Linked DNA regions of Notamacropus eugenii. The protein of the gene in region 2 interacts with the protein of the main gene of each other region in a pairwise test. Links are inferred from orthologs where the notes say so. Each region holds a gene or a part of one and is shown on either strand. Other genes may lie near its edges. The genes, in order: ILF2 and EEF1G.

Region 1 (15,490 bases), about 360 Mb from region 2:
GAAAGATACAAAGAAAATATTATGCAGGATCTTCTTAAAATCTTTGGGTACTTTAAACACCTTTGGTTTTTGATGTTACATTAACAAAAAAATTCACATTTCTATGTGCTTTAAGATTTACAAAGGATCTTCTTACAAACAACTTTGTGAGGTAATTAATGTAAACATTCTTATCCCATTTTAGGGATAAGAAACTGAGGCTTGGAAAGGTTCAAGTACAGGGTCACACAACTAGTAGGTAAGTAGCAGAGTCAGAACTTGAAACCAGGACTCATGACTGGGGCAGAAGAGACTGTCAAACAAATTTAAATGGAAAGTAGCTCATACTGTTAGTAAAGCTGTAATTACCAACCATTCTGAAAAATAATTTGGAATTATGTGAAAAAGGTCAATAAAATGTTTATATCCTTTGACCCCTTTGATCCATTGCTATATTTTTATCTTTATATCAGAGTTTGATATATAGAGATAGATGTAGAGAGATATAACTATAGCTGTAGATACAGATGGCATCTAGGTGGTGCAGTGGATAGAGCACTGGCCCTGGAGTCAGTAAGACCTGAGTTCAAATTCAGACTCAAATACTTACTAGCTGTGTGATCCTGGGCAAGTCACTTAACCCTGTTTGCCTCAGTTTCCTCCTCTGTAAAATGAGCTGGAGAAGGAAGTCACTCCAATATCTTTGTCAAGAAGATGACAAATGAGTCACAGAGAATCAGACATCACTTAACAACAACAACAAAATAGATATGAGTACAGAGGTCCCATATACACCAAGATATTCATAGCAGCACTTTTTGTGGTAACAAAGTATTAGAAATAATATAACTAGTTGCCCATTGACTGGGGAATAGCTGAACAAATTGTAGTACATGCATAAAATACTATTGCACCTTAAGAAATGATGAAAATGAGGAAATTAGAGAAGCATGGGAAGATTCGTATGAACTGATACAATTGTGGAAGCAGAGTCAGAACAATATACATAATGACAATGTAAATGGAAATAACAAGAAGCAGCTGATTGTTGCATAATTATAACAATGCAGTGTGACCTTGAAAATGTGATGAAAGTGCACCTCCCTTCTTTGCAGAGGACTATAGGTGTAGCACGTTGTATATATGATCACATTTGATGATGCACTGATTTTGTTCAACAGCTCTTTTTTTTCATTTTTATTCATTATTACAAGGAATGACTTAATGGGGGGAGAGAGGAGAGGGGTGTATTTGGAAACAAGGGTGATGTAAAACTAAAAGATATCAATGACTTTTTTTCTTAATTGTAAAATCAAATTAGATAATGTTTAGAGCAGCTATTATTGAGTGACAGGTAACCTGATACTACTTTGAGATGTGAATGTAGGGTAAATATCTGATAGTGTTGTCTGTAGGGTTGATGGCATTCTCCCTCATCCCCACAAACTTACCCTGAAAATACCAGTAGAAGGCTCCATGTCCCAGAGAGAGAAGTCATTCTCCCGGTCACCATTGCTATCGATTTTTAGGTATCCTGTAACACCTGAAGTAGGCAGGAATAGAGTGAAGGGTGAGGGAAGGGATGTGTGTCTTGAGAGGTGGGGAAGGTCCAGGCACTTCTACTTATAATTCATACCCATTCATATGCCTATAGCACTTTATGGGTATATAAAATGCTTTCTTCTTAATAACTCTGTGGGATAGGTAGCATGAAGATTATTATCCCATTTTATAGCTGTGGAAAGCGAGATTTAATGACTTCTCCAGGGTTGTACAACTAATAAGTAAGAAAGACAAGACTTGAACTCAAGTCTCTTGGCCCCCAAGTCAGTGCTGTTTCCACTGCTGACCCTTTGACCCTTGGTATTCCTTCCCCCATCTCCCACCATCCTCATACACTAAACAAGCACAGAAAAGTATCCCTGTCCTCTGAACAAAAAGTACTAAAGTAACAGCAGGACAACTGAAGTCTCGTATAGATATTTATCTATCTATCTATGAATAAAGTCTCATATATATGTCATATACACACATACATATGCTTTTCCTATGGAAATATATCTTTCTATCTATATCTATATCTATCTGTGTGCTTTTCTTTTCTCTTATTGCTACAGCTAACATTTCTAGTACCATATTGAATAATAGTGGTAATAATGGACATCCTTGTTTCATTCCTGATCTTATTGGAAATGCATCTAGCTTGTCCCCATTGCATATAATGCTTACTGAAGGTTTTAGGTAGGTACTGCTTATTATTTTATGAAAAGTTCCATTTATTCCTATGCTCTCCAGTGTTTTCAATAGGAATGGGTGTTGTATTTTGTCAAAAGCTTTTTCTGCATCTATTGAGATAATCATGTGGTTTCTGTTAGTTTTGTTGTTGATATGATCAATAAGGCTAATAGTTTTCCTAATGTTGAACCAGCCCTGCATTCCTGGTATAAATCCTACCTGATCATAATGTATTATTCTCATGATAAGTTGCTGTATTCTTTTTGCTAATATCTTATTAAAAATTTTTGCATCTATATTCATTAGAAAAATTGGTCTATAATTTTCTTTCTCTGTTTTGGCTCTTCCTGGTTTAGGTATCAGAACCATATTTGTATCATAAAAAGAATTTGGTAGAACTCCTTCCCCAATTTTCCCAAATAGTCTATATAGTATTGGAATTAACTGTTCTTTAAATGTTTGATAGAATTTACTTGTAAATCCATCTGACCCTGGAGATTTTTTCCAAGGGAGTTCATTGATGGCTTGTTCAATTTCTTTTTCTGAGATGGGTTTGTTTAAGTATTCAACTTCCTTTTCTGTTAATCTGGGCAAATTATATTTTTTAAAAATAATCATCCATCTCATTTAGATTGTTGAATTTATGGGCATACAGCTGGGCAACGTAATTTCCAATTATTTTTTAAATTTCCTCCTCATTGGAGGTTAGTTCACCCTTTTCATTTTTGATATAGGTAATTTGGTTTTCTTCTTTCTTTCTGTGTGCTTTTCTTATGGAAATTCAGGATACAGTGGGATGGAGACCAGATGAAGGCAATGGAGTCCTCCTCTAAGAGATGGGGTAAAGGGCTTTAAATGGAGATGGATTCTTCTTCCTTGTGATAGGTAATGAAATAGTGAGGAGGCTACGCCCTGGTTGAGATGACTTCTCAAGGATCTCTCTGGCTGAAGCATTTAGGAGCTCCTGAATCTCCTTAGAATTTTTTCTTTTCTTTCACATCATGCTATCCACCTGTTTTACACACACACACACACACACACACACACACACACACACACACACACACACACATACACACACATCCCAACCCACAAGGCTCTGACCATAGAAACTTCGATTCCACATCCTTCTTGTGACAGCTTCTCCATCAGTGGCTGAACCACCACTGTCCAGTGTCTCGGTCACTGCTTGGGCATAGATCAGAAGCCCATCATAGAAGGAGGCTGCAATGGTGTTCACCTGTTGAGGAAGGGTGATGGTGAGGGATCATCCTATCTCAGAAGGCTAGGGGAGAACACTGGATAAGAACATAGTGGGGTGGTGGTGGAAAGTAGAGATCAGCAGGGACCAGGAACAGGCAGGAGACACTACCAGGGCAATAGAGGAGGAGATACCTAGATAGGTAATGGAGGGATGAGGAGCACCAGGAAGAACTGGGAGAATAGATATGGTGGCTTTGGAGTAAAAGACCAGGGAAAGTGACATGGTGGGGGAGAGGGGAGGAATGTGGAGAGTGGGCACAATGTGTAGGGGAAACAGGGCTATAATACAAATCAAATATTAAGCACTCACTGTGGGAAAGGTACTGGGCAATTCTAGACAGTTGGTATACAAAGAGATAAAAAGAAAGTCTGCTTTCAAAGAGCCTACTTGCATTCTACAGAGCACAGTGAGTAGAGCAAAAACATAGAGAAGATGAAGCAAAAGGCATTAGGATGGAAGCATGGAGCTCCTGTGGGTGGAAAGGTTGTAATGGGAAGGGCAGTGGGTATGGTGTGTGTGTGAGTTGGTCACACTAGGGCAGGGCTATGTGAGGCTGAACATGGCCTTGGGAGCCAGAATGGGGCTTCCTTACCAGCCCATCCTCCACTGTGAAGTTAAATTTCTTCTGGGCTAAATCTTTGAGCTGCTGCAGAAATTCCAGATACTCAGGATTATCAGGCTCCTTATATGTGATGATTTTAGCAGCCTGGCCATGGGGCAGGAGGAGAGGGAAAGAAGGCATTATTAGGGATACAGCTGAAAGGGCAATACTACAGGGCTCCTCATTCCCAGGGATATTGTGTTCACGCCCTTGGGTTTCTCTGTTTCTCTTTGATCAGTCTAAAGTCCTAAGTTCAGAAGCAAAGGAATAGACAGATAATTGTCCAAACTCCTGCTCACCCCAAGGCACCTCTGAACTCCAGACTTACCTCATTCCTCTAATTTGTCATTCATTTGACTCTCAAGCCCCAACTGTAGTCATCAACCCATCTCCTCTAGCAGCCATCCTCTGACTCCCTGATAACCTGTCCCAACCTCATCCCCATTCTGGAAGTATGTCAAGGACCAGAGAAGCAAAAAGAAGGATAAGCCTCCAGCATAGCATCATACAATGATAGGTAGGTTCTAACCAGGACTTTGGGGTACCCACCTGGAAGGCCTTTCGGGCAATGGCATCATACCTATCCCCCTGCTGCCATGGCCTTCCAGAGATAGGGCTACGCCCATCCTGCAGGCTCTTTCCGAAGACATCAAGGTAAAAGAAAATATAGTCTCCCTCGGTCATCCCTGCTTCCTGGGCCAGAAGCATCAGGTCTCTGAATGTGTTGGGAGAACTGCAGATATAGATGACTGTGGAAGAGGACAAGAAGGAGTCAGATGAGCAGGAGATAAGAATTTAATGGAAAAGTTTGGGGCTGAAGGAGGGGAGAGATGGGGTTAATAAGGGCCAAGAAAGAGATTCCTTTATTTTAGAGACCTGTCCTCCAGCCCCGAGGTGAGCAGTACCTCCAGGTTCAGCTTGGGCTATGGCAGGGGAAGGAGGACTGAAGAAAGACTGAGATGAAGACAATAGGAACTCTTTGACCTCCCCACTACTAAAGTAACAAAAGAAAAGGTGGGAAGGAGAAAGTGGAAATTGGAAAAGGAAAGAGAAAATTGAACCCAAGGGGAGAAGGGGGAGATAACCAGAAAGGACAGAGGGTCCAGGGAGTATAGGAAGAGAGGAAGGCTGGGTGAAAAAAAGAAAGAAAAGGGAAATGAGGAAAAGAGGGAGAGGGAGACCATAGGTGTGAGATGGACAAACTCAAGGAAGGAAGTAGAAAAGAAGACAGAAGAAATAATTCACACAGAGGACAGGAAAGATGGGGAAATGGGAAAGCAGGGGAAGAATGAGGAGTGGAAAATGGGAGGAAGTAGGGAAGAAAGAGCCGGAGAAACAGGAGCAGAACAGAAAAAGCAAAGTAAGAAAGCGGGGTGAGGAGGGCGAAGAAGGGACAGGAGAAGGGCAGGAGCCAGTGGCGGCACACTCTGGTTGGGAGACGAAGGCCCGTCTGGGTCTGGAGCTTGAGGGATCCTGAGGGTGTAGGAGTGGTGAGGTACCGGTCAAAGCCGGCCTCCCTTTCCCGAAGGGGCTCCTCCCATGGGGTCTCAGAGTACCCCCTTACTTCTGCCCTTTTGTTGCACGTCGCGCAGAAGTGCGCTATAGAGCTCCAGGTCACCCTCGGCAAACTGCAGGTAGTCCACGGTAATGTTGAGTCGAGCCCGGAGCCGAACGTACAGCCCTTCGATGGCAAAGAAGCAGGGCCGGTCGTCCCCGACTGGGGGACGGTCGTTGTAGAGCAGGAGTGTGCGGCGCTCCCAGCCCAGCTGCTGGTGCAGCGTGGCCACGAAGTCCCCGATCTTGACATGGCTCGGACCGGTGCGGGTGGTCAGGGCGTACTCATCCTTGGAGCCGAAGCCCAGCGCGGACGCCCCGGCGGTCAGCATTGGCACGTTCCAGTGCGCGGTAAAGCGGCCCACAGGCGCGGCGGAATACACGCACCCTGGTCCCAGAAACGCAGCCGGGTGGTATTCCACTTTGAGGTCCACCGCAACCAAGGGTGCCCAGCTGTCGGAGCACACCCCTTGGGGGTTCTCGCTGCTGCCCAGCTGGTACACCGCGGTCCAGCCCGGCAGCAGGTCCGACCGTTCGTTCATCCTCTTCAATGCCATCTCCACGGCCGGTCCCACGCGTGACCACGACCACGGGTACGTGGTGTTGGTCACTGGTAGGACCACGGCCACTGTCAGGTTCTTCGCCTGGCACCCCCGGAGGACGAACTGGACGAGGAAGGGGAGGAGGACGCCCGAGGGGCACTTTGGGGCGCGCATTGCCTCAGCTGGAGAGAACAGGGCAGAGAGAGCGCCCAACCACGTCCCCTCCCCTCTCCACGCTACCTCTTCCCTCTCAGTGAAGCATCGAGTCCATCTCCGGGGAGCGGGGAAGGGAGACTCCTGGGCCCCGGGTGTCCCCTCAGTCTGGGTGAGAGACAAGAGGAATTCGAAGGGGTGAGAATGAGCAGAAGGGGCAGACAGTGCTAGCGTGCCAGGGAATGAGCGTGTCTCAGAGGGAGGTTGCAGGAGGGCAGGTGGGTGAGAGGGAGAGTGGAAGAGTGCGTGCGTGCGTGCGTGTGTGTGTGTGTGTGTGTGTGTGTCTATGCTAGTGAGAGAAGTGGGAGAGATAAGAAAGGAGGGGAAAAGGGAAGGAGGAGGGGTGTGAGTGTGCGCGCTCTTGTCTGTGATCTAAGGGTGCCACTGAGGGCAGAGGGGTTGTCCAGCCAAACTCTCCGTCTGCCTTAGGGGGACTGGGAAGGACCTGGAGCCCTCCCTTCTTCCCTCTCCGACTCAATGGCAAAAGAACCAATTCCTGATCTTTAACTCCTTCCTCTCCGGAATCTGGCTGCCTCTATCTTCCTACCTCCCCGCCTTCTTCGAAGTCCCTCTAACCACTCCTACTTCTGTCTCCCCTTCCTCCCTTGGGGATCTGGTACGGGTGAGAAAGCCTTTCTAGAGGACGGGAAGTTTGTTGAGGAGGTGTTTGTTGTGTGCATGTGCCTGTGTGCTCTAACAGCTGTGTCCTCTTCCTCCTTCCCTTCCTCTTATCTTTCCCCTTCCACCTTGTAACATCTGGTGAGAGAAGCATTTGCTTACTTGAGAATCTGCTAGAATAAAATTGGAGGCGGGGGGTGGGCTAGATTTATGGGAATGATGAGTTGGAGTATGGGAAAAGGGAAAGAGGGTGAGAATTGAGCTGGGAATCAGGAGTCCAGGCTCTCCATCTGTACGCGATTTCCCCTCCAGGACTGAGCCACGGAGATGCATCACATAATTTTAGATTGTAGAGCAGCAAGGGGCCTCAGAAGCCGTCAATTCCAACAGTTGAGGAAACTGAGCCCCAGAGACGTGAAAAGACTTGCCCAAGGAACAAAGTGAGAATTTTTAGGTCGCTCGGGTTCCTAGGCTGGAGGAGAGAGATGAAGACATAGCACCCAGGACTGATGGGCACAGATCCCGCAATGTGGGAGCTTTGGTGAAGACTATTCCACGAGGGGGTCTTTGGAGGTTTCCTCCCTTCTCCGGCTGATGAAGCAAAGCTTTGGATCCTATCCCAACTCCTAGAAGATATGGCCCGAGGGCTAGCGACCGCCCGTCGGGGTTTGGGAGCCTTTGGTGGAAGAGCGAGAAGGAGGCAGGGTGGGGTGTGGGGTGTGCGACGTGACTCAGGGACTGGAGGGAGCTCAGCCTGGACTACTCGATGCAGTCCCGACAACTGTGGAGTCATTCTGCCACCCAGTGGTCAGTAGTCATCTCTGATGTTGCCGGTTCCAGCCTGGCAGGTCATCAAGAACAAATTTCCCCCGAGGTGCCCCAGGCCAGCTTCCGTTAATCATCATCATCATCATCATCATCATCATCATCATCATCATCATCATCATCATCGTCATCGTCATCATCATCACCATCACCACCACATCAACCACAACAGTAGCAGTTCTATAACCCTTTAAAGGTTTGCAAAGAACTTCACAAATATTAGTTCATATTATCTCATTTGAGCCTTATAACCACCCTGAGAGGTGAATGCTATTATTATATCCATTTTACAGATGTGGGAACTGAGATGAAAAGAAGTGAAGGTCAGATTAATTATTAATTACCCGAGGCTAATAATGAGACAATTTCTCATTCCTTTCTTTCCCCCCCTCCACTCCCCAGTTTCCCATCTCCAGCAGCTTGCCGGGCACTTCCATCTGGATGTCCCATAGACATTTCAAAGTTGATCTATTCAAATCAGAACTCGTTTTCTTTCCCCTAAACCCTCTTTTCCTTATAACTTCCCTTTTTCTGTTAAGGGCATCACCCAGGTTCACAATCTTGACTCTCCACTTTCTCTTGCGTAATCAGTTTTGTAGATTTCATTAGCGTGTCTTTTGCCTGTCTCCTTCCGTCCACTCACATGGTTAGCTCCCTCATTTCCTCTCATCGGAACTATTTCAAGAGCTTCTTAACTGGTGTCTCTGCATGCAGGCAACCTCCCTCCTCCACAATCCGTCCTCCACACAGCTGCCAAATGGTTATTAGCCAAACCCAGTTGTGAAGAAACTTCAATGGCTCCCGTTACCTCTGAGATAAAACACCAACTTTTCTGCTTGTCGTTTAAGGCCTCTTACAAGCTGACTCCAACCCAGCTGGCCGGGCTTCTGAAGCTTTACTTTCCCTGTTGTCGCCCCCTCCCATCCAACAGCGTTATTTATTTGCTTTATAAATGTCACCTCAAGCTCTCTCCCTTTAAGGTTCAGTTAAGAGCTGCCTCGTCCAAGAAGCCATTCCTGAATGCCCCAGTTGTTATTCCTCCACTATTATTACTTTGCATTTGTTAAAGAATATTTGTATTTACTTATTTGTAAGTAAATTAAGTCTCTTACTAAATTAAGTCAAGTAAGTCTCCCCTCAATCCCCTCCCCCCCAAGTCTCCCACCTCGTAGAGTATAAGTTGTTGAGGTCAGGGACGGCTTCATTTTTGTTTTCATATCATATCCTCAACTAGTGCAGTGCTTGGCACGCAGTAGGTGCTTAATAAATGCTAGTTAAAATGAATTCTTTGCTCAGCCTATTCGACACCTTCGTTTATTCCTGTTGCTTCAGTTTCCCTTCGAATCTTCCATTTCTTCACAATTTGCCTTGAGATTCCACTTTTTTTCTGTTTAAATCCTGAAACTTCTGGGACTCAGTCTTCCCCCTTTTTTATCTCTGGTTTTCATTTTCCTCTGCTTCTAATTCTCATACTCACGCGTATTAAATTCGGGCAAACAACGTATGTTACAATTTATGTTTGAAATTATCCCTTTTCTTCTAGCAAAGTAGCGCTGGTTGAATAAGGTGAATGGAAAAATTTGTGGTTGGAATCGAAAAGTGTTGTTAGCAGAGGATGGTTTCGATCCATCGACCTCTGGGTTATGGGCCCAGCACGCTTCCGCTGCGCCACTCTGCTAGCTATCGCCAGCCTTGGCTAAATCCTATATAAAGAATGTAGAACTTGTCTGGCGTGTGCGTCAATACTACGTGAGCCTTTCCGCAGCGCCTCCTGTCGAACGTTCTACATACAAGTAGCTCCAGTCGCTGCTTTTCGTTAGGTCGCTTCTCATTGGCTGTTTTCCAGTACCGCAGGCTCTCCCAATGGCTGATAATTCTGTTCGACCGAGGAGACCAATGGGTGTGGATGACGGCATGACGCAGCAGCCAATAGTGACTGGTCTTATTGGAACGTGCCGGCAAGCGGCCTCTCCGGTTGTTGGCTTCTCAGAGGAAGGGGCGGTTGGCGGGGCCTCCATTGTTCAAGACTGTGGGAACCATGAGGTGAGGTGCCGCGGGGCTCCAGGGGAGACCTGGAGCGGGGGATGAGGACCAAGGCCGGAGGCAGTGAGGCCAGAGCACCAGGCAGCTGGAGGGACCGGGTGTCCAGGAGTTGGCTGAATCCCAAGATCCCTTAGGCCGAGTGGGGGAGGGATGACTCCAGTATTTTGTGGGAGGGGGTGGAGAAATCCAGGGGAGCTCCTACCTCATCTCGGGGGACAGGGAAGGCAGAGAGCCTGGAGTCCTTGCCTCCGGTGACACTTCTTACCTGGAAGCCTGTCCTGAGTTCTTCGCGTTCATTCTGTCTGTCTCTTCAAGTTACCTTGTACGGCAGTAATAGAAATTGAGATCTCATTTAAGCTAAATGTAAAAGAGTTGGGAATAAACCTACCATAACGCAGAATACTTACGTACAGATTCAGTTACAGCCTGCTCAGAGACAGAAAGCACAACTCAGATAGCTGGAGGGACATTCAGTGCTCATGGATGGGCCCTGCCAATGTAACAAAAATACGACCAAAGTGAATTTACAGATTTAATTCTGTACCAGTCAAGCTATCTGTGCCCCCATTCACTGTGAAGCGAATGTAAGTTCCTTGAGGGCCAGAGATGCCTCCATCCTCAGCACCTAGACCCGGAGCAGGGAAATTCTTGCACCCACGATTTCCTTTCTGTGGTAGGGAATTCCCAATAAGGCATTTCCCCTGCTAATGCAGGATGCCACCTATTAGTTTTAGAGTTGCCTAGGGCAGTGAAGAAGGTGAGTTCCATAGGCTACTGGGTTACCCAACCAGTATGTATCTCAGGCAGGACTTGGATCCAGGTCATTCTACCATCTTTATTTACTTAGGCTAGGTACCTCTGCATTAATAAATGTTTTTTGAGCAGTGTAATGCAGAATTATTACATATACCACCAGATGCTGGGGTTGTGTTGATCAAGTTTGTATAACTTTTCTCTTTTAATTTTCTCTTAATGCTGTCCGGGATAGGGGAAGCAGGAGGGATGTATTCAGTAATAAGCATGATGTAAAAACAAAAGATATCAATAAAAAAGATTTTTGAAAATAAATTCTTGTGGAGTTGAATGTTTGAGAGGTTGGGTAAGCAGTTCCCATTGAATTAAGTTGAATCGTAACAGGGGGAAAAAGAAACTGGGTGGGAAAAGGTTTGGATCAACCTATGGTGAGGATGTTATTGGTTTCTTCACTCTGTGTAACAACTGCTTGTCTTATTTATAGGGGTGATAGAGGCCGTGGTCGTGGAGGGCGCTTTGGCTCCAGGGGAGGACCAGGAGGAGGGTTAGTACCACCTTTGAGTGCCAGATGGGGTGTATGTCTTCCACCACCTGATTATTTTTTTAGTCCAAGGCCTCTTGCAATAGAGGATTTGGAGTGGGTAAATATTGCTTGCTTTTTATGAGGCCGTATTCTGGCTGAGACAGCTCTTCCCATGTGCTCTTTCTTGACATCTCATGTTTATCCCCTTTTCTGTACTCATTCAGATTGCCTCTATCCAGGTCCTTACCACATCTTCCCCAGATGATTTTAATAGCCTCATAATTGGTATCCCCACTTCTGGTCTCTTTACTTTGTCATCTGCAGCTTCCATATTGATATTCCTAATTTACAGATCTGACCATGTGACTCCCCTATCCAAAAATCTTTAATATCTCCATGTGCCGCTAGGATAAAATGCAAATTCTGCTTTGGTATTTAAAGCCCTCCACAATCTGGTTGTCTCTAGGCTTTCCTATCTTATTTCATAATACTCCTTTTTACTCTCTCCCTTTTCTACTCCAGTTAGCCTGCTAGCCATTCACTATATATAACACTTCATTTCCTGCCTCTGTGCCTTTGCACAGGTGGTTTCCTATGTCTGGAATGTTCTCTCTTTTTACCTCTACTTCTTAGAATCCCTAACTTCTTTCAGAGTTAAATTCAAGGGCTACTTTTTTGGGTCTTTCCTGATCCCTGTTTCTTCCTCTCTCTAGTTGTTAATATCTTCTCCCTTCTTTATATAATTTTTGATTTTACTTGAGTACATGTTGTCATTCTTTTCCCCAACTCCCCTTCTCTGGTGAGACTATAAGATATATGAAGGTGGGGATGGTTTAGCAAGTACCTACTATGGTATCTTGCACATGTGCTTAATATTTGCTGAATTGTTCCTTCAGTGAGTTGATTTTTGCTTCCATTCCCGCCATGCGGAGAGAGATAACCTCAGATGACTTTGCCACCAGTTTAGAGCAGTAGTTGTTTACAAAGGTCTCTGATAACTACAGAGATGTTAGCTCATTAACTACATTTGTATGATAATACATATCCTGGAAACTTCAAACTAATGTAGGTGGGTGGGTGTGAAGCTAGTATAAATTTTTAATATCTCCTACTAAGTCTTCACACAATGTTACCAATGCTCTGAGCATTTAATGTTTAATCTTATCACAATAAGGTTGTGTAGGTGGACAGTGCTAGATGCCACATAGAAATTAAGAATCTTAAGTTCTGTATTCCTAACACTTGCTCTTTATTTTTTAACAATCTGCAGAATTTGGTATTTATTCAAGTGTGGATATGATAACATGTCATGATAAAGGAATAGACTTAACTTTTACTGAGTAGCAAAAATGAATCTTTTTCTTATTTAAACCTTACTGATGCCTTCTTTACTTTACATATGCTTTCTTTTTGTAGTTGTATCAGAAAGTCTAGTCCTCCTGGTTAGGGGAAATGACTTTCTTTTCTTTCTTTTTTTTTTAAGGTTCAGGCCATTCGTGCCACACATTCCATTTGATTTCTATGTGGTGAGTTTGGTACTTTGATTGAACTTGGGTCTTCCACTTTTGCTATTATAATTGTAGGGGCAGGGCCATGGTCCTCTGATGTATAGTCACAAATTCATTTGAATAAATATGGTTTTTTGGGAAGGGTTTTGAGGTCCACTTTTATTTCTTTTCACACAGAAAGAGGCTATGCAGGGTGAGAAGATGTAACTTTGGTTGTTATTGGCAGAAATTCATGATACTGTCACTTTTGTTTTTGACTTTCTGGATACCTTAAGTTTTCTTTTCCTTGATAAGATGTCATGATATTTTGGAAGAGACAGTTGTTGACTTTGTATAAAATATTACTATAGAATTTTACTGCCTTTATGGCTTTTGTATGTCTGGTAGAATATAACTCCTCAGGATTTTTGTCGCGTATAGTTTGTATCTCTGTAGCAATTATTGTGATTCTTATTATCATTTCAACTCCTTTCTGGTTCAGTGTGAAATGGCATTTCCCCGAGTCAAACCTGCACCTGATGAAACCACTTTCAGTGAGGCATTGCTAAAGAGGAATCAGGACCTTGCTCCCAACTCTGCTGAACAGGTTTGTTCTATGGATATTCTCGATGTTTTCCCCTGATAGTTTACGATGAATAGCTGAAGATGGTGTTGGGAGTAGTTGCAGAGACTTACACTTGGTTGTTCCTCAACTTTCTCATTTTGGGTGGAAGAAGGTATTGAGAAGAAGTGAATTTGATTTTCCTGAAGCATAGGTCCAACTATATCTCTTCCCTACTCAGTAGTAACTCTGTTGCCTCTAGAATCAAATATAAGTTCTGTTTAGCCTTTAAAATACTTCAGAATGTGGCCCCAACCCATCTTATTTACCTTAATTGTACATTACTCTTTTTACACTCTATAGTCCAGCCAAACTGAAATTGCTATACCTTCTATAACAATTGAATCTTGATCCAGACCCCAAAGTAACAAGTTTTTATTAAGTCTTGATACCTGGTATTGTCACTCATAATGTTTAGTTCAGTTGTTCAGGTGCTGTTGACACCCTTTTGGTGATTTTTTTTAACCTTGGGCTTTTATATTTCATGTTAATTTTCAGGCATCCATCCTTTCTCTGGTAACAAAAATCAACAATGTGATTGACAACCTGATTGTGGCTCCAGGAACCTTTGAGGTGGTAAGTTTTTGTTGACTGAGTCTCAGGAGGAAGATAGCCTTACATCTGTAATAGTTTCCTTGGGCCTCTTTTCACTTTATAGCTAGTTTTTATATAGGGTTTTACATATGTTACTTCATTTGATCACAGCAATAATAGGTGATATTATTCCCTCTTTACAGATAAGGAAATTAAGGCCAAGATAGCTTAAAGTGATTTGCCCAGGTTCACATAGCTAGTAAATGTCTGAGGTAGGATTTAAGTCAGGTTTTCCTGATTTCAAGTCCTACACAATTCATTTATACCACCTAACTGCCTCTAAGGAAAATACAGTGGAATTTCTTTAATGTTCTTGGTGTTGATTACCATAGTTTTTATTTGTAATGTGGATGTGTTTTTTGCTTTTAAGATAGCATATCTTAATCTTGCTAATAGTAGGTTATGTAATACGTATAACATAATACTATGTAAAAAAAAAAAAAGACTGAAATTAGAACTTTTTTTCTCTCTATACTTTTGTGATTTCAACAGCTTTTTTCTGTTGATGTTAACTCCTCTCCCCTTTTCAACAGCAAATTGAAGAGGTCCGGCAAGTAGGATCTTACAAGAAAGGGACGATGACCACAGGGCATAATGTGGCTGATCTGGTAGTGATCCTGAAAATCCTGCCAACATGTGGGTGACAAGCTTTCTTGGTCCTGGGAGCCAGCTCGGGCTGGGTTTGAGGCATTGGGGGTTTAAGGTCCAAATTGCCAGGAGAGATAATTTGAGGAAAGAGAGAGACCTGGGGAGGTGGAGGGGGAAAAAGGAAGTTGTGATTAATTTGGAGATAGATTTAGGGTATCAGAAATGTTGTAAAGTTACTAACTGAAAAAAAAGAGCTTGGACGTAAAAATGATAATGGAATTTGGGAAATGTAATTGTGTATGGATGGGGGATGAAGGCTGGAATGTTTTGAGCTGTGAATTTATTGCTTTTCTTTTCAGGACTAGAATTTTCTGCAATGTTAGATAATTCTTGCAATATTACAAAGATAAATCCTTGTTTTCTAGGCATGGTACATAAGTAGAGTGCTAGGTGATCTGTAGAAATAACAGGTAGTGGTATTAGAGGGGTATTTATTTTCTACTTTCTTTTGTCTAGTGGAAGCTGTTGCAGCCTTGGGGAACAAAGTGGTAGAAAGTCTTAGAGCACAGGATCCTGCAGAAGGTTTGGCTTTATTATATAATATATATTGAATTCTTATTGGTGCTGAGTACTGTATGGAATGCATGTACGGATCATTCAGATTGGGCAAACAAAACCATCAGTAAGGGATGGCTGTTTCTCAGAGGCTGTGAAAATTGATTCCCTGGCCCAACCAACTTTAAGCTCTTTGTTCTAAGTTCTTGTTCTGAACTCTACCACAGAATTACTTGAAAAGATGATTTTTTTTTCCATCCCCAGGCTCCTCTCCTCCAATACCTTGCCCATGTGATAGACTGTTTCATTTGTTTTGTTTCTTCAGTTTTGACTATGCTGACCAATGAAACTGGCTTTGAAATCAGTTCTGCTGATGCCACAGTGAAGATTCTCATTACAACAGTGCCACCTAATCTTCGAAAGCTGGACCCAGAACTACATTGTAAGTCAAGCTCCTCCTTGGCCAGGGAATTTTGTGACCTAGAAGCATTGGG
Region 2 (15,221 bases):
TTGTTACAATGGACTAGAGGGGCCTGAGAGCACCTTAGTGTTAGGGACTGACCAATGACAACCAAGTTTCTATCCCATAACATAGGTCTGTTCAGAAGTGAAAATAATGCGTCAGGCACTACTGTGCGAGCTAAGAGCAGGGAGGACAGGAGATGTGACTAATGAATGTGGACAGGACCACAACAAGGATGACCACGGGCCCACTGGGAAGTAGGAGCCCAAGATCACAAGTGATGGGGACTGAACCTGGCTGGGGCCACAGCACTCAACCCTGCACATACTTTCTATCTCAATTTTTCCTTTTTCTCTGATAAAAAATACCATTTGTTAACTCTTTGTGAGAAGATTGGCTGATTCAGTGGAAAGAAAGGATACTGGGGGAAATTATGGTGATGTAAAAAAAAGAAAACCCAATTAAAACCTATTAAGGAAAAAAAATAGTCCTGTGAGCCACATCTGTGTCTGTCTTTCACTTCCTGGGGAGGCTCCAGGGAGGGCCTCCTCCAGGAGCTTTTCTAACTAACACAGTACCTTGGGACACCTCTGGATAAAGGGGAAGCCAAGGGCATTTCAGAGCAAGAGCAAATCCCATTGTCAGAGTAAAAAAGGATTTTATTTTTGATGCTGACAGAGATCCCTGATTTAAAGCTTGAAAGACTTTTCTAGATCACCTTGGCTGAGTCCAAGTATCTGTATTGGAGGCCCAAGAATACAGATGGAAAAAAGATCACACCTTAATTTTCACTGCGTCCTTCAATTATTTAAATACATCATCCCAAGGAGTCCAGGACACAACAAAGGTTAAGAACTCCTGGTCCACCCCATGTATCCCTTTGCAGGATGTGAGGCCTGTCTCCCAAATCCAGAGCTGTCCATATCCCATGGCTTGGCTTCCTCTCTTCCATCAGAGGCACAAAATGCTCCTGTGGGAGCAAAATCCACTAGCCCATTCAATGCATACACAATCCCAGATCAGAACCAGGAAACCCAGGGAGACATATTCGAACTTAGTGATCAGGGGAGTGAGGGGCTGTCCATCCAACCCCAACTCCAGGCCCCCAGCTGCCTCTAAAGAATGGCCCAGGGTCTTTGGGCTCAACAGTTGCTGGAGAACCATCTCTGGGGTTAAGAGGAAAACCAGTGTCATCAGCAATACCCACAGGCTCTGGGGAATGCTGGGATCCATCCCCTACGGATCAGTTAGCTGCCACCTGCCTCCTCCAGGTGAGATGCTCACATCCACACAGGACAGAAACAGTAGCTGGTTTTCATAGGTGCTATTGACACCCAATACAGCGAGCCAAAGGACAGCCCAATCTCACCAAGTCTCTGGAGCAGGAGCACTCATGGGCAGCTACCTCACTTCTGACCTGGACCCTCCTCTTCCTCTTGGGGATCTTATCAGTCCCCAGGGGTTCAATGCTAATGTCTATACCCATGACCTCCTGCTCTACGTATTCAGCCCCCTACCACTTGTCTGACTGCCTTTCAGACATCCCAAGCCCAATGGCCAGCGGACACCTGAAACTCACCATATTCAGAACAGAAGCCATGCTCTTTCCACCAAACACTTGCCTCTCCCTCCTTTCCCTCTTTGTGCTACGGGCCAGGGCTGACATCTGCTCATCCTCATCTTCCTCCCTCCCTCACCAAACATTTCTCTTCCCCTCTCACCTGAACTACTACAAGAAACACCTGATCTCTCCTGATTCCAGTCCATCCCCACACCATAGGTGCCAGAGGCAGGTCAGTCCCCTGCTCAGTAAGCTACCATGGCTCCCAATTACTACCCAATCCCTTCCTGCCTTCCCAGTCTGGAAGGTTCTGTCTCTCACTGTCCTCCTTCCTCAGAGGCTCAGCCCAAGCCCCACTTGCTCCCTCCCTCCATGGCCAGCACTAAGGCACATCTCCTGATTCTTGGCTAGGCCTGACTCCTGTGCAGACCCAGTGACTGGCACACCCTCTCCCCCACTGGGAAGCCCACAGTAAGCATTTCATAAATGCTTCTAAATAACTGCCTGGCTGCCCCAGGCTGTCTCCTACCTCTTGGGCAGGTGGGCAAAGGGATCCTTGGCCTTGGGCTCTGCAGCCAGAGCCTGGTCACACTCGTCCATCTCCTCCTCTGGGCCTGGGGTTGCAGGAGCCTTCTTCTCCTCCTTCCGCTCAGCCTGGGCCTTCTGTTTTTCTTCTCGCTGTCCCTTCTCTTTTCTTGGGGCCTCCTTCTTAGGCTGACTCTCAGCAAACTTTTTAGCTAGAGAAAGGGAGAAACGGGACCCGCTAAAGCTCCATCTCTGGTGGCTCTCACACAGACACCATGACTCCAAGAGCAGAGAGGGACTGCAGGCGGGGGCAGAGCCTCCACCTGGAGCTGCCCAGCCCAGTGCCCAGCCAGAGCTTCAGCAATGTCTATTCTAGAAAGCAGGGGTCATCGATGCCAATGGGGAAAGGCAAAGGGGAAGACCACTCAACTCAATGCCTCAGGCTTATTTGGGCAGAATGGCGGAAAGCAGTCTGGCAGAAATCAGATTCAGACCAACACCTTACACCACATGCCATACTGAGATCTAATAGGGAGCTGGCCTGAAAGTCAAAGGTCAGGCCACAAAAAATGAGAAGGGAAGTGATTACAATTACCACCAATTCCAAGAACTAGGAGAGTCCTGAACATATGAACCTTAAAGGCTTTTGTATGAATAAGAACTGAGCAACAGTCAAGAGGGGAAAAATCTTTCCTTCAACTATCTCTGACAAGGGTCTAGCTGCCAAGATGACTAAGGTAAGTAATGGGTGCACTCAATGCAGAGCCCCCAATACATAAGGACACACAAGTGCAGGAATGACAGTTCCCCACCCACCATATGCCAAACAGGGGATTCCCTGAGGCTTCACAATCAGCCAGCAAGGGGGTGGGAGCCTGGGCTCCCCCTACCCACCAGAACCCACTACACCACAATTCCCTTTCTGTACCGCAGAAACTTGATGCCCATGGACTGGGTGGGGAAACGCACATGAGAGTGATGGAACACAACTGTACCATTAGGAAATGACCATGAAGAAACATGGGAAGACACATGAACAGATGCAGAATAAGGAAAGCAGGAAAACACATCAACAACAGGCAAAATGGAGAACAGCACAAAACAGTCAGTGCCAATGAGGAATGCCTCCAAAGGCCGCAGAAGATGCCTGTCTCCACCACTTTGGCAGAGGTGGGGGGCCACGGATAAGTAATACTACATATACCACCAGCTTTGTCACCATGCTAGGCTTCAGGAAGGGGGACGACATGGCATGCAAAAGCTTCCAAAGCCATCACCAACATTTTCATACTTACCATCAAATTGTGCCATCTTCTCGCAGAGCTTCACCTCTCCCAACACCGCCCGGAACTGGGGCTGGTGGATGCACGTGAGGAACCAGCGGTTGGTGTTGGGAAAGGCCTGCCGGAAAGACGGCTCTAAGACCTGGAGGAACAGACCAGGAGGTGGCTCAGTGCTGGCTGGGCCTTACAAAGGCCTCCCCTGCTTACACTAATGAGGGAGGTACCCCTGGGTGGGAACCGCTCAACCCAAAGTAACCCAAGAGTGTGGCCCATGGGGGGGGGGGGGGGAGCAGGATTCTAGCAAGCATTGACCCCATCTCCCTTCCCAGCAAACACAGAGCCCCCATAAGTCTCAACAACCAGGAGGCAATTGCAGGAACCAAGGGACCTTGAAAGTAGAAAAAGGGCTGGGCTGGGGAGGCAGCCTCATGTCTCAGGCTTGTCCTGGCCAGGGCCAGCCCTCTGTCCTTACCCACTCTGTTACTTGCCCCACTCACCTGCTTATAGAGCCACAAGAGGGTACACACAACTGTGATGTCAGCCAGAGTCACACGCTCCCCAACCAGGAAAGTCCGGGTCTTCAGGTGAGCATCAAGCAGCCCCAGAACCCGCCTCACCTCCTCCTTGGCATTCTCTGTGGCCTGGGGGGGAGACAAGGAAATACAGTGACCTCAGGGCACCTTTATGGTCCAGCCTCGCTCCACCTCTACAAAAGCAGACCTGGAGGCACATCAGCTTGCTCCAGCTCAGACTCTGGGTTGATCGGCGCCCAACCTTGACTTCTACAACAGCCCAGTCAGGCTTCACAGCTTCTTGGCCCCATGTGCCATTCTGGGGACGCTTATCTTCTGCTTCTATTCAATCTCAGGTTAACTTTTGCCCCTTTGGGGCCAGGCAGATGGCCCTTCCAAATGCTCCCTTCTGCAGAACCTTCCCTGACCATGTGACCTGGACAGGCCCCAGGGCTGGAGAGCAGGTCAGCACCAAGAGAGGAAATGTGCTGAGTGACCAACAGCTGACAGTGCTATATTCTCTCACTACAACTTGGCCCCACTCGATCAATGCCTTCTAGAGCCTCTTTCTAATGCCAACTTCTACCAATTTAGAAACCATAGGATGCAGAGCTGGAGGGAATCTTCAAGGTCATCTGGTCCTTCCTTACAGAGGAAGGAAACTGAGGCCAGAGAAGGGAAATTATCTGACCAAGACAGAGGCAGAATCAGGGCTCACATCTCCCTCCCTCTCCTCAGACTGGGTGGAGGGCACAACCTCAAGGAGGGGGATCTCTGGATAAAACTGCACAAGAGAAGCTTGGCCATCACAGCTATACTAATTCCCAGTGGTCACAGACCAAGAAAGAAATGCCAAGGACCACATCCTCTGGGGGTCCTCCTTTAGCTTCTCTATAGAAAGAAGGCATGAGTCTGGAGGATGTAAGGGTTCCTTCTATCAGCTGGGATTCCCACCATGCTTTCTCCTGGCACCAGCCCCTCCATTCAATCAGCACAAACACCTCCTCTGCCAGGCACTGTGCCAGGTGCTGGAGGCAAAAGAGTCTGTGCCCTCAAAAAGCTTATATTCTACTGGAGAAGACAACACATGTCTACATACACACAGCAAAGGGCAAAGGACCAGCAAATGCCTTAGGAAGGAGGCATCTGAATTGAATCTTGGAGGAAAGGAGGGTGTCTGAGAGGGAGTGTTCCCAGAAAGGTGGACGGCTAACACAAAGCAACAGTAAGGGTTGTGTCCGTGGTGGACCACAGAGAAGGGCAGGGCGCTGATGCCTGCTCTGGCAGGAGTCAGGTCAGCTCTGTGCTTTCTGAAGCTGCCTGTGGCTAGGGTCCTGCAGCCCACCTTCCCATTCCCAGGGCTCACCTGTTTGTTATGGTGCATGATGCCCAGAGTGGGGAACACCCAGGTACTAGCTGGAGGAACGATGTCACTGTCGGCAAAGCTCACCCACTGGATCACTTGGGCAGCGGCCTCTGGAGTCGCGCCACGAAGGTCATCATTGCTCACTGCAGAAGGGAGGAAAGAAGAGGGTCATTCTGCAAGAAAGCCCACCATCCCAAAAACAGCTGCTCCCACTGACTACAAACAGCCTTCTAGAGCCCCTGCCCATCTGATCCCCTCAAAGAGCCCCCCCAAAATTACCATAGTGTGCAATGGCATTGCTTTCAAATACACAGAACCCATCATCACCCTCAAAAGCTGGAACCTGGGGGCAAAAGCAGACACAGAGAAGACACTAAGTCCTGAGAAACCAAAGGAGCCCATCCCCAGCAGCCTGGGGGCAATCTAGCACAAAGCTGAGCCAGCACAAGAGGTTCAGACCCATTTCTCCCACCCCAGAACCTAGAACGCGTAGGGGGTACAGCGGCCTGGGGGGCGAACCATACTGGAGCCGCTGCCCCGACCCCAGACCAGCCCAGGATTTACCTCGGAGGTGAAGGAAAGGCTGGAGAACTCCGGCTCGGGGAAGACCTACTCACCTTGCCAGCGGGGAATTTTCGGAGGAATTCGGGGGTGCGGTTGGTCTGACCGAAGTGGAAGTGGGGAGGGGCGGACAGCACGCGGATCTGGGCCCCACTGTACTGGGCAGCGATGAGGGCCTTGAAGGCCCGCCAGTTCTCAGGGTACGTGTACAGGGTCTGTGGAGACAGCCGCAGCCTTAGACACGGCTGCTTCCCGCAGTGAGCCCGCAAGCTCACCAGGCGGGCCCCCGGAGCCCCCGGAGCGGGGACCTCTGCAGGGCTTCCCAGCCATCCCCCCCAAGGCCCTGCTCAAGGGAATCACAAGCGTGGCCCCGCGGGGCCAGCCGGTGAAGGAGCACGAACGGGGCTCACTGGGCAGGCAGGGCCCCCCACGAGGACGACGGGGTCCCCAGACCGCCTGAGGTCAGAGCCCCGCTCCGGCGCCCCCGACCACGCGGCCCCACAGCACACACCTGACCCACGAGGAGGGGGAGTCCCATGAACCCCGATCACACCCCCCCTTGCCACAGCCCCGGCTCATCACCCTCGGCCCTCACGGCCTGGCCCCTGCCCTTAGCCCCCCACCCCCCAGGGCAGCCCTCCCGCCCCAGGCGGCCTCAGCCCCCAGGCCAAGCCTCCGGCGCCGGGCCGGAGGAAGGGCAAGGGGTCCAGTCCGGAGGCCGGCCACGGGCACGGGCAGGCGCGGGGATCTCCAAGCGCTCCGGGGCTGGAGCAGGCCCGGGCACTGGCTCCGGGGCGGCGGCCCCGGCCAGCCTCAGTTTCTCCCCCCGCCGCCGCCTCTGGGCCGCGGGTGCGGCCCACAACGGCCGCCCCGGCTCGGGCCGGGCCCCCCCACGCCGCGGGGCCCCCCGGGAGGTGGGCGGCGGCGGGGGGGACCAAGGATGGCGGCGGATACGCTACCCGGGGCCCGGGGCGGCCCAACTTACCCCGGCCGCCATGGTGATTCCGCAGAGAAAGGGGGTGGGGACGTCGGCGCTGCCGCAAAGCGAGTCCGGCCGGGGGGGCGGGGAGGGGAGGAGGAGGGAGGAGGGAAGGGAGGGAGGAAGGGAGGGAGGGAGGGAGGGAGGGACGGGTGGGAGGGGAGAGCGGCCGGAAAGCGAGGAAGGCGTCGAACGGAGCCGCGCGACAGGAGGGCGAGCCCTCCCCGCACCGGCCGAAGTAACGAAGCGGTGCGCGCCTGCGCGCAGGGCGCCGCCGAGGGCCCGCGCGAGAGGCCAGTTGGCTTCGGAGCACTTCGGAGTCTCCTCCCCCGGCCCGCCCCGGCCCGCCACGCCCCTCCCCGAAGGGGTGGAGCCGGAGCCAGAGCTGCTCTCGGCTGGCTAGCCCTGTTTAGAGGCTGCCTGGGCGCGCCCCCGCCCGCCTCCTAGCGCGTGCTGTTGGCAGCGGGGAACCTAGGCGGTCCTGTCCTGTCACCTCCACTCGCATCTGGGGAACCTGAGGCATGGGGGGCGGCGAGAGGCGCCAGAGTGTACACATAGCTGGTCCCAGGGTCAAGAAGACACAAGTTCAAATGCAGCCTCATATTTTTATTGTTATTTTAAATGTATTTTTATTTGCTTCGTTAAATACCTCCTAATTACATGGAAAAAAGTTTTATTTCTAATTAGCATATTTATTTCTTATTTATCATACATATTGTTATATAATAAATATTCATTTACATTTATATGTATTCATGTTTTTAAATTTAGTTCCAAATTTTCTGCCCTTAAGAAGACAATCACGTATAAACTCAGGAATAACATTTCCTTATTAGCTATGTTACAGAAGAAAACATACACAGAAAAAAAATACAAGGGAAATTAAGAAAGTTTTTTTTTTAAGTCAGCCTCCATCTGCTTTCAGAATTTATCACCTCTCTGGAGGTAGATAGCATTTTTCATCATGGATCCTTCGGAACTGTCTTGGATCATTGCAGAGAATAACTAGGTCATCCACAGTTGATCCTCTCCATATTACTGTTCCTGTGTCCAATGTTCTCCCGGTTCTGTTCATTTCACTTTGCATCAGTTCATTTAAGTCTTTCCAGGTTTTTCTGAAACATCGCCTGCAACGTTTCTTATAGCACAATGCTATTCCATCACAATCGTTTGCCACAACCTGTTCAGCCATTCTCCAACAGATGGGTATCCTCTCAACTTCCAATTCTTTACCATCAAAAAAAATGCTGTCATAAATATTTTTGTACAAATGGGTTCCTTTCCCTTTTCTTTGATCTCTGGTATACAGACCTAGCAGTGGTATTTTTGAGTCCAAGAGCATACACAGTTTAATAGTCCTTTGGGTATAGTTCCAAATAGTTCTCCAGAAAGACTGGACCAGCTCCACCAACATGACATTAACGTCCCTGCTTCTCCACATCACTTTCAGCATTTGTCATTTGTCTTTTCTTTCATATTAGTCATTCGGATGGATGTGAGGTAGTAGCTCAGAGTTGTTTTAATGTGCATCTCTAACCAGTAGTGATTTAAAGCATGTTTTCATTTGTCTACTAATAGCTTTGATTTCTTCTAAAAACTGCCTGCTCCATATCCTTTGACCACTTATCAACTGGGGAATGCCTCTGCTGTGCATAAATCTGGTTAATTTCCCCGTATGTTTGAGAAATGAAGCCCTTTTATCAGCCCTTTATTTATTTTTCACCAAGTTTTCTTTTGAATTTTGGTTAATCTATTAGTTTTGCTGGTGCAAAACTTTTTAATTTCATGTTATCAAAATTATCCATTTTAATTCCCATGAGCCTATCTCTGGTTTGGTCATAAACTCCTTTATCAACAGATCTGACAGTCACATTTTTCCATGCTCCCCTAATTTACTCATATTATCCTGTATGTCTAAATTATTTATCCCTTCTGACTTTATCATGGAATACAGCACGAGATATTGGCCTGTGCCTTGTTTCTGCCAAACTCTTCATTTTTCCAGCAGTTTTTGTTAAATGGCAAATGCTTGTCCCCAAAGCCTAGAGCTTTGGAGTTATGAAACATCAGATTACTAGTCACTACAGTCTCCTAACTACCTCATCTATTCCACTGATCGTCCACTACTTTGATTTCTTAGCCAGTACCAGATTGTTTTATGACTATTTTGTAACATAGTTTGAAATCTGGTACTATCAGGCTGCCTGTACGTTTTTTCCCATCAAAAGAATTATCCTTTGATATTCTTGACCTTTTGTTCTGTTTTTTTTTTTAGCTCTGTAACTCTCATAATATGGTCAACTTTGCTGACAGTTTTCCTAATTTTGAACTAACTCTGCCTTCCTACTATAAATCCCACCTGATCATAGCCTATGTTCTTTGTGATATATTGCTGTAATCTCCTTGCTCGTATTTAAAAATTTTTGCATTGATATTAAGGAAATTGGGTAAGCCTTATCTGTACTGTCTTTGGTTTCAGGAGAATCTTTTTAAGTGAATAAAATGCATATAATTATAAAGGAAACCTTGCAAGTAAGTAATAATAAAGATGCACCTTTTCCCCCATCCAAGGTTACACCCCTCCATAAAATGTACCCGCAGATCCCCAGGTAGAAATTTCTGGCTCAGACCCTAAGGTAATAGTCTGGTAAAATCCTGTATAACCCAGCCCCAGGGCAGTGCCCCAAAGATAAGACCTAGAGACAAAGCTCATACAAAAGCACTTTATTGCCCCCTCCTCTCTTCAGTCATCCTTCTCACATCCTAGGATGCCCCGCACAGTTCGAGGTAGGAAACCATGTAAGAAATGATGGAGATCGGGGAACAGGCTCTGGGGATCCTGGAGCTGTGTGAGAGTGAGAAACTGGCCAGTGGGGCTCAGGGAAGCAGTGAAGGTGAGGAGAGGCTGCGGCAGCCGTGGCAGCTCTGGCTCTGCTCTCTGCTTCCTGCTCTCCTGGGCTATCAGCTCCTGGGTCACCAGAGCCTCTGCCTGCAGCCAGTTCATTTCACCTTTGGCTTGCTGCTGCAACTGCCTGCGCACCCGCCGCCGCCCAAGCCATACCCGGTGCCAGAGCGTACAGAGCCAGGTCTGTGCCTTCCCTGGCCCTGTCTCCTTCTCCCCCTGAGTTACTTCTACCTCTTCACTCCCTAAGTTATCTAGCTGCTTTACTTCCCTTTCTACTAAATGCTGCCCAAGTTCCGGCAGCTGCTCCCCTGATGGCCCATGGTCCCCAGTGGCTGATGATTGGCTCTCCTCACCATCAGTCTCCAGCACCATCTCTTCCACCCCAGCCTCTCCTTGGTGCCCCTCAGATGCCTGTTGCTCCTCATTCTGCCCTTTCTCCCTCTCTACTCGTAGCCTTTTACTTGGTCCTCCGTGGGGACACTTCTCATCTCCAACTTCTTCTGGCCTCCGTCTCTTGCAGCTCTGCTCTATCTGGCACCCCAGTGTTTCCTCTAACACTTGGGTAATGGCAGCACAGAGCTGGGTGAAGGGGGCAAGGGGCAGAGGAATGGGAGTAACAGACAGCAGGGAGTTGGCAGAGCTGGGTTGCAGGAGAGGAAGCAAACCCCAGTCCCGGCCTCGGGGAGACCGACGCTGGAACTGGAGGCTTCGGCAGTAATTAGCTGACTCCTGACAACAGTTCTGCAGGCGACCAGCTACCCGGCCTGTCACGTTGGCAGCCACGTTGTGACTTAGGTCAAAAGGGTCCTGGAGGTTCAGAGGGCCAAGACGTAAGCCCCCCCAGAGACCAGGGGGCAGACCCTCGGCTATGGGCAGTGGCTGGCCTTCCCTCAGAGATAGCAGTGAGCCTCGGAGGTCCCAAGTAGAGACACAGGAAAAGAACTGAGCCAGAAGGACAGCTGTTGGGAGGCCAAATTGAGGCTGAGTGAAAATGAGCTGTTCCATCCAGATCCATCCCAAGGAAGGGCTGGAGATGGGATTCCCCACCCTTCTTGCTCCTAGTCTGGCCTCTAGGAGCACAAGGGCCCTATGGTCCCACCCAGCCCACCTCCAACCAAAGTCCAGGTTCCTCCCCTCCTCCTCGGCTGTCCCCAGGCACTTACCAAGGGGCTCTGTGTTGGTGCTGGGCTCCAGGCGGGATGCCTCTTGGGGGAAGCTGCAATCCCAGCCATCTACCTCGACCCGTTCCTCCTCACCTGGGGATACAAGAAAGGGCAGCTCTAGCAAAGAAACAATGGAAAAGCATCCAGGAGACAGTTCTCACCAAGATCCCCAGACAACTCACAGTTACTAAAGACAGGAGAATTGCCTGTCCACTGGGAAGATGGTGATGTGGGCAGACACAACTACAGACAAAGATAAGGGCAAGGGCGTCAGGAGCCTCTGACTTGGGATGTCATACCTGCCATCTGGGTGAGCTTTGTGAGGGAAGGCAGCACAGGAGGGTCCCGGGTTTGCAGGAAGTGGATCACCAAGAGAGTCAACGCATAATTACTCAGAAGAGGGCCACTCCCTGGGCAGAAAACTGAGGCTTACCAGTAGCCACAGAGAGCGTCTGAGTGAGCCTCCTGTTTACTGCCCCCAGCCTGCTGCACGTGGCCTAAGTCTGTGCCAGCCCCTGCCTTTACCCCTCTCCCCCATCCCCCCACCCTCCCCAGGGAGCACAGGAACTGCCTCCTCCTCATGCCCACCTTCCTTACCTGTCAGCCCTCGTCTCTGAGCCCAACAGCGCAGGGTATAGACCAGGGGCCGTACTCGCCCATCTAGGGCACAACAGAGACTCAGGAACCGTGAATTATATAACGCCAGTCTAGGATAAGGAGGAGACCCAGGTTCACCATCCCCAGAAGAGACTGCCTCATCCCCCCACTTCCCTCCTCCAGTTACTTTCTGCTTCCTTCTCTGTCCATCTGTGATTCCCTGGGGGCAGAAGCAAGCTTGTTTTGTGTCTGTACCCCCAGGATCCAGGACATTACCTGGAATGCAAACAATACTGAACTGACTGAAATGGGGCTGTGGGCAGCAGTGACAGGACAGGAAGGAAAAGGGGCAGAACAAAACAAGGACCTCGGGAAAGACACCAAGCACCTGTTACTGAGGGAGATGTCGCCGTGAAGACCAGAGGGTCGATGGCAGAATTTGGCCACAGGACGTCGAGCCGAGGGCACAACCCAGACACTGTGCACCCCAGGGACACAGCCTCGGAGGACAGACCCAACAAGCTCCAGCATGGCCTCTCCCTCCCCCTCCGCCCCCTTGAGTGCTCCAAGTTCCCAGGTCTTCCCCAAGTCCCTTTCTCCCACCTCCTCCTGGATGGGTGAAACTGGGGGCAAGGACTGTGGGGAGGCCAGGGCCTCAGAGGCTAGGGCCGAGTCAGGGGTCGGAGGGGCTAGGGAGGAGGTGGGGGTTTCAGAGTCCTGGGGGGAAGCTGGGGCCTGAGAGTCTACAGGGGAAACTGGAGTGGAGGCCAAGGCTTGAGGATCTAGTGGAGAAGCAAGGGCTGAGTCCAACGCTGGAGAGGCTGGGGCCTTTGGATCCTGCTGTAAGGGAGAGACAAGTTGGGCCCATGATCCCTTGGGGTTCCCTCCATCACCCATCCTCAGACCATATACTATAGATCGAGCTGCTCAGTCTCAGCACAGCACAGTAGTATCCTCCCTAATCTACCCACCCTATAACTATTTAGTTAGGCTTTCTTTTTTAAGGCAAAGCAGTATAAAGTAAAGCATGCTGGGCTAAAATCCGGAGAGATCTGGGTTCAAATTCCACTGCCAACATCTACTAGCTGAGTGACCACAGGCAAATGACTTAAATTTCTGAGACTCAGTTTCCTCATCTGAACAACTGGGAACACAAAAGCCATAGGCCCATTAAGGGTCCAATGAGATTCATCCATAGTGTTCTCTACAAGCCCACTCTCCCCACCCACTGCACCAGGCTCTCTAGCATCTCACCTGTGGCCCCTCCAAATCCCCTAGATCCAGGAAGAGGTCAAGGTCACATCCATGAACATCAAAGCCATTTGTAGAGGAGCCAAAGGGACGGATGACACAGCCTGGGTGGTGAGCACAGCATCGAGATCAGGGGACATTCAAAGAGACGCCAGCTGTACAACTGAATGGGCAGGACAGGTGCTCATGATGGAGGCACTGACTAGAGGCCTAGGGATCAGAGAGTCTGAGGGGGATGGACAAGCCTCACCAGGGAAGAACTCAGAGAAGACCTCCTGCAGCAAGGTCACGACAAGCCCCCGAAGCTGGCGTTCTGCCTCAGAAAGCTCTCGAAGGCCCACCAGCTGCACCATCTGGGCCTCCACATCTGGAGCCTGTGCCAAAGCCTGCGTCAGCTGCTGGTCATCTGGCGGTGCCCCTCTGGACGATTTGGGAGCGGGGGTCTGGAATTCCTTCTGCTGCCGAGGCCGTACACGTAGCCGATGGCCACCGAGGGTGTGCTGAGGCTGGGACAAGACAGCATTCCGGGTGCCCAGGTCTCCCATTTCAACAATGGCAAACACTCCCTGTTAGGCCGCAGCAGAGAAAAGCTCTCAGACACTCCTCTCCAATCACCATGGCCCAACCCCAAGCCCCACCATCTCCTATCTCCTCCAGCCTGTCCCTAGAGTCTCCCTGACCTGGATCTTACTCCCTCCTCCATCAGATTGCTCACAAGGGCTTGCCCAGGCTGGCCCCACTACCTTGTCCTTGTCCATGACAATGCTGGCCACAGGTCCAAAGGCCTGGAAGTACTCAGAGAGCTGGGCTGGATCTACACCACGTGGAAAACCACTGACAAACACGCTCCGCAGGCCCTGGGCCCGGCGTGCAGCTCGAAGCTCTTCAAGGCGGCGATGCTTCTTGCCTGCAAGGTGGGCATCCAGGCTGGGCCCTGAAATACACACATTAAGCACGTGCTGCTTCCAAGGATGCAGCAACAAAGTACTGACTGTTTTAATCTACATGGGGGAAAGAGCCAAACCAAACGCTTCAGGCAAACCACAGTTCGAGCTGGGTGGAGCTTCAAGAGGCCATGGAGGCCCCTCAACATAGAGTTGAGGAAACTGAAGCCCAGAGAACCTAAGTGACTTGCAATGGGTCACACAGAAAGGAAACATGAGGATCCCCTTTGAACCCAGGTCTTCTCCCTCCAACTAGGGTATCACCTGGGGAGATCATTCCTGGGCTGACCCTAAAAGGCACAGACAGAATCATGGAGTCTGGGGAGGTCAAGAGGAAAGCACGGTGGGAGCCAGAAGGGGGTTAGACAGGGGCCAGATGAGGGATGCCATGCTATGACAGGCAAAGGAAGCCAGGTTTGGTTTTATAGGCAACAAAAACTCACAGAAGGGCTTTGGGCCCCGGCATGATTCTGGCGGTGTGAGGGGTGAGGGAAGGATGGGAGAGTGTGATGGAGGATGGAAGATGGAGGGCAGAGGAGGGAGGGAAGAGACTGGGGGCAGAGACACCAGTCAGGAGGAGATAACAAGAGTCTGGGTTGGGGGGAGGGCGACATGGGCCTGACTTTGGGAGGCAAGAGAAGGGACACAGAATTGACATGACTGGAATGCGAGGTGAGAGCCCAGGAGGAGGACAGCAGAAATGAGATTGGGAGATGAGGCCAGTCAGGTCAGGAGACTGATGCGCTTGGCTCAGAACATGCTGGGATTGAACAGAAGAGATCCAGGGAAAGGGTCCAGGAGGCAGGGGGAAGACACAGGAGGAGCAGGAAGAGATGTGGAATGATCTGCATAGAGATGGCTACAGAAGAGAGTCCCTAAGAAGAGTGTGTATGGAGAAGGGAAGGGAGTGGGCCCTCAGGACACCTGTGCCAAGGTCCCAGGCTGAAAAGTTAGAGAAAACAATGATTCACAAGGAGCAACAGCACCACAGAAATACCTCAGGGGAGATGTCAGTAGAGTGCAGCAAAAAAAGAATCTCCATGATAATGGTCCTGGACGAGATTCTGGGATACTGGGATACAAAGCCCTTAGAAATGTCCACAAGGACAAGGACTGAGAAAAGGCTATCGAGGACCCTGGGGAGAGCAAGCTCATGGAGCAGTGACATGAGGTGTGGAGGGGGAGGCCAGGGTGCCACAGACAAGTAAAGTCTTCAGGAGAGACAGAAGGGGAGACAAAGAGACAGGAGGCCAAGGGCTCTGACAAGGAGAAGTCACAGCTCTAGAGGCCAGAGAAAAGAAGATGAAGAGGACGACATAGAAAAGTCTGGAGGTAGAGAGCAGGAGACAGACCAGCTCAATCAGGGATAAGGGCAGGAATTGGACAAGGAGGTTTAGAAAACCCATTGGAGGGCATGAAAGAGTCCATCAAAGATCAACCGAAAGGACTGTCCTGCAGCAGGGAGTGTCCACTTGAGATAAGATCACTTGAATGTGTAGAATGTTCAGCTGAGCTGATTCTGGGGTTTCTTTGAGTGGCTTAGAAACAAAAGCAGAGCAGGCCTACAACGGGAAGGGAGGGAAGGCTGAGGATGGGCAGAGAATGACCAGGATAAAAGGGC

Evidence for each region.
Region 1: the proteins of EEF1G (region 2) and ILF2 interact in a two-hybrid assay, tested with the Homo sapiens proteins (2 studies listed by BioGRID and IntAct). The two-hybrid records come from large-scale screens. The link is inferred for Notamacropus eugenii from reciprocal best matches to the Homo sapiens genes EEF1G and ILF2.

What each region holds. Positions count from the first base shown.
Region 1 is NC_092873.1:377,646,035-377,661,524, reverse strand, and holds the start of ILF2 (interleukin enhancer-binding factor 2), read left to right. Parts: upstream 1-9,766; 5' UTR 9,767-9,869; coding exon 9,870-9,874; intron 9,875-11,111; coding exon 11,112-11,171; intron 11,172-12,633; coding exon 12,634-12,676; intron 12,677-13,139; coding exon 13,140-13,244; intron 13,245-13,757; coding exon 13,758-13,835; intron 13,836-14,386; coding exon 14,387-14,489; intron 14,490-14,957; coding exon 14,958-15,023; intron 15,024-15,321; coding exon 15,322-15,438; intron 15,439-15,490. Other genes in the region: NPR1 (atrial natriuretic peptide receptor 1), read right to left, coding at 1,431-1,522, 3,319-3,454, 4,071-4,184, 4,629-4,828, 5,644-6,349. UniProt on the Homo sapiens protein: Chromatin-interacting protein that forms a stable heterodimer with interleukin enhancer-binding factor 3/ILF3 and plays a role in several biological processes including transcription, innate immunity or cell growth.
Region 2 is NC_092873.1:15,702,067-15,717,287, forward strand, and holds the start of EEF1G (elongation factor 1-gamma), read right to left. Parts: upstream 6,976-15,221; 5' UTR 6,759-6,975; coding exon 6,747-6,758; intron 5,977-6,746; coding exon 5,818-5,976; intron 5,544-5,817; coding exon 5,480-5,543; intron 5,344-5,479; coding exon 5,201-5,343; intron 3,964-5,200; coding exon 3,820-3,963; intron 3,465-3,819; coding exon 3,335-3,464; intron 2,252-3,334; coding exon 2,044-2,251; intron 1-2,043. Other genes in the region: TUT1 (speckle targeted PIP5K1A-regulated poly(A) polymerase), read right to left, coding at 9,484-10,604, 10,809-10,901, 11,108-11,218, 11,406-11,515, 11,794-12,245, 12,660-12,760, 12,907-13,222, 13,400-13,590. UniProt on the Homo sapiens protein: Probably plays a role in anchoring the complex to other cellular components.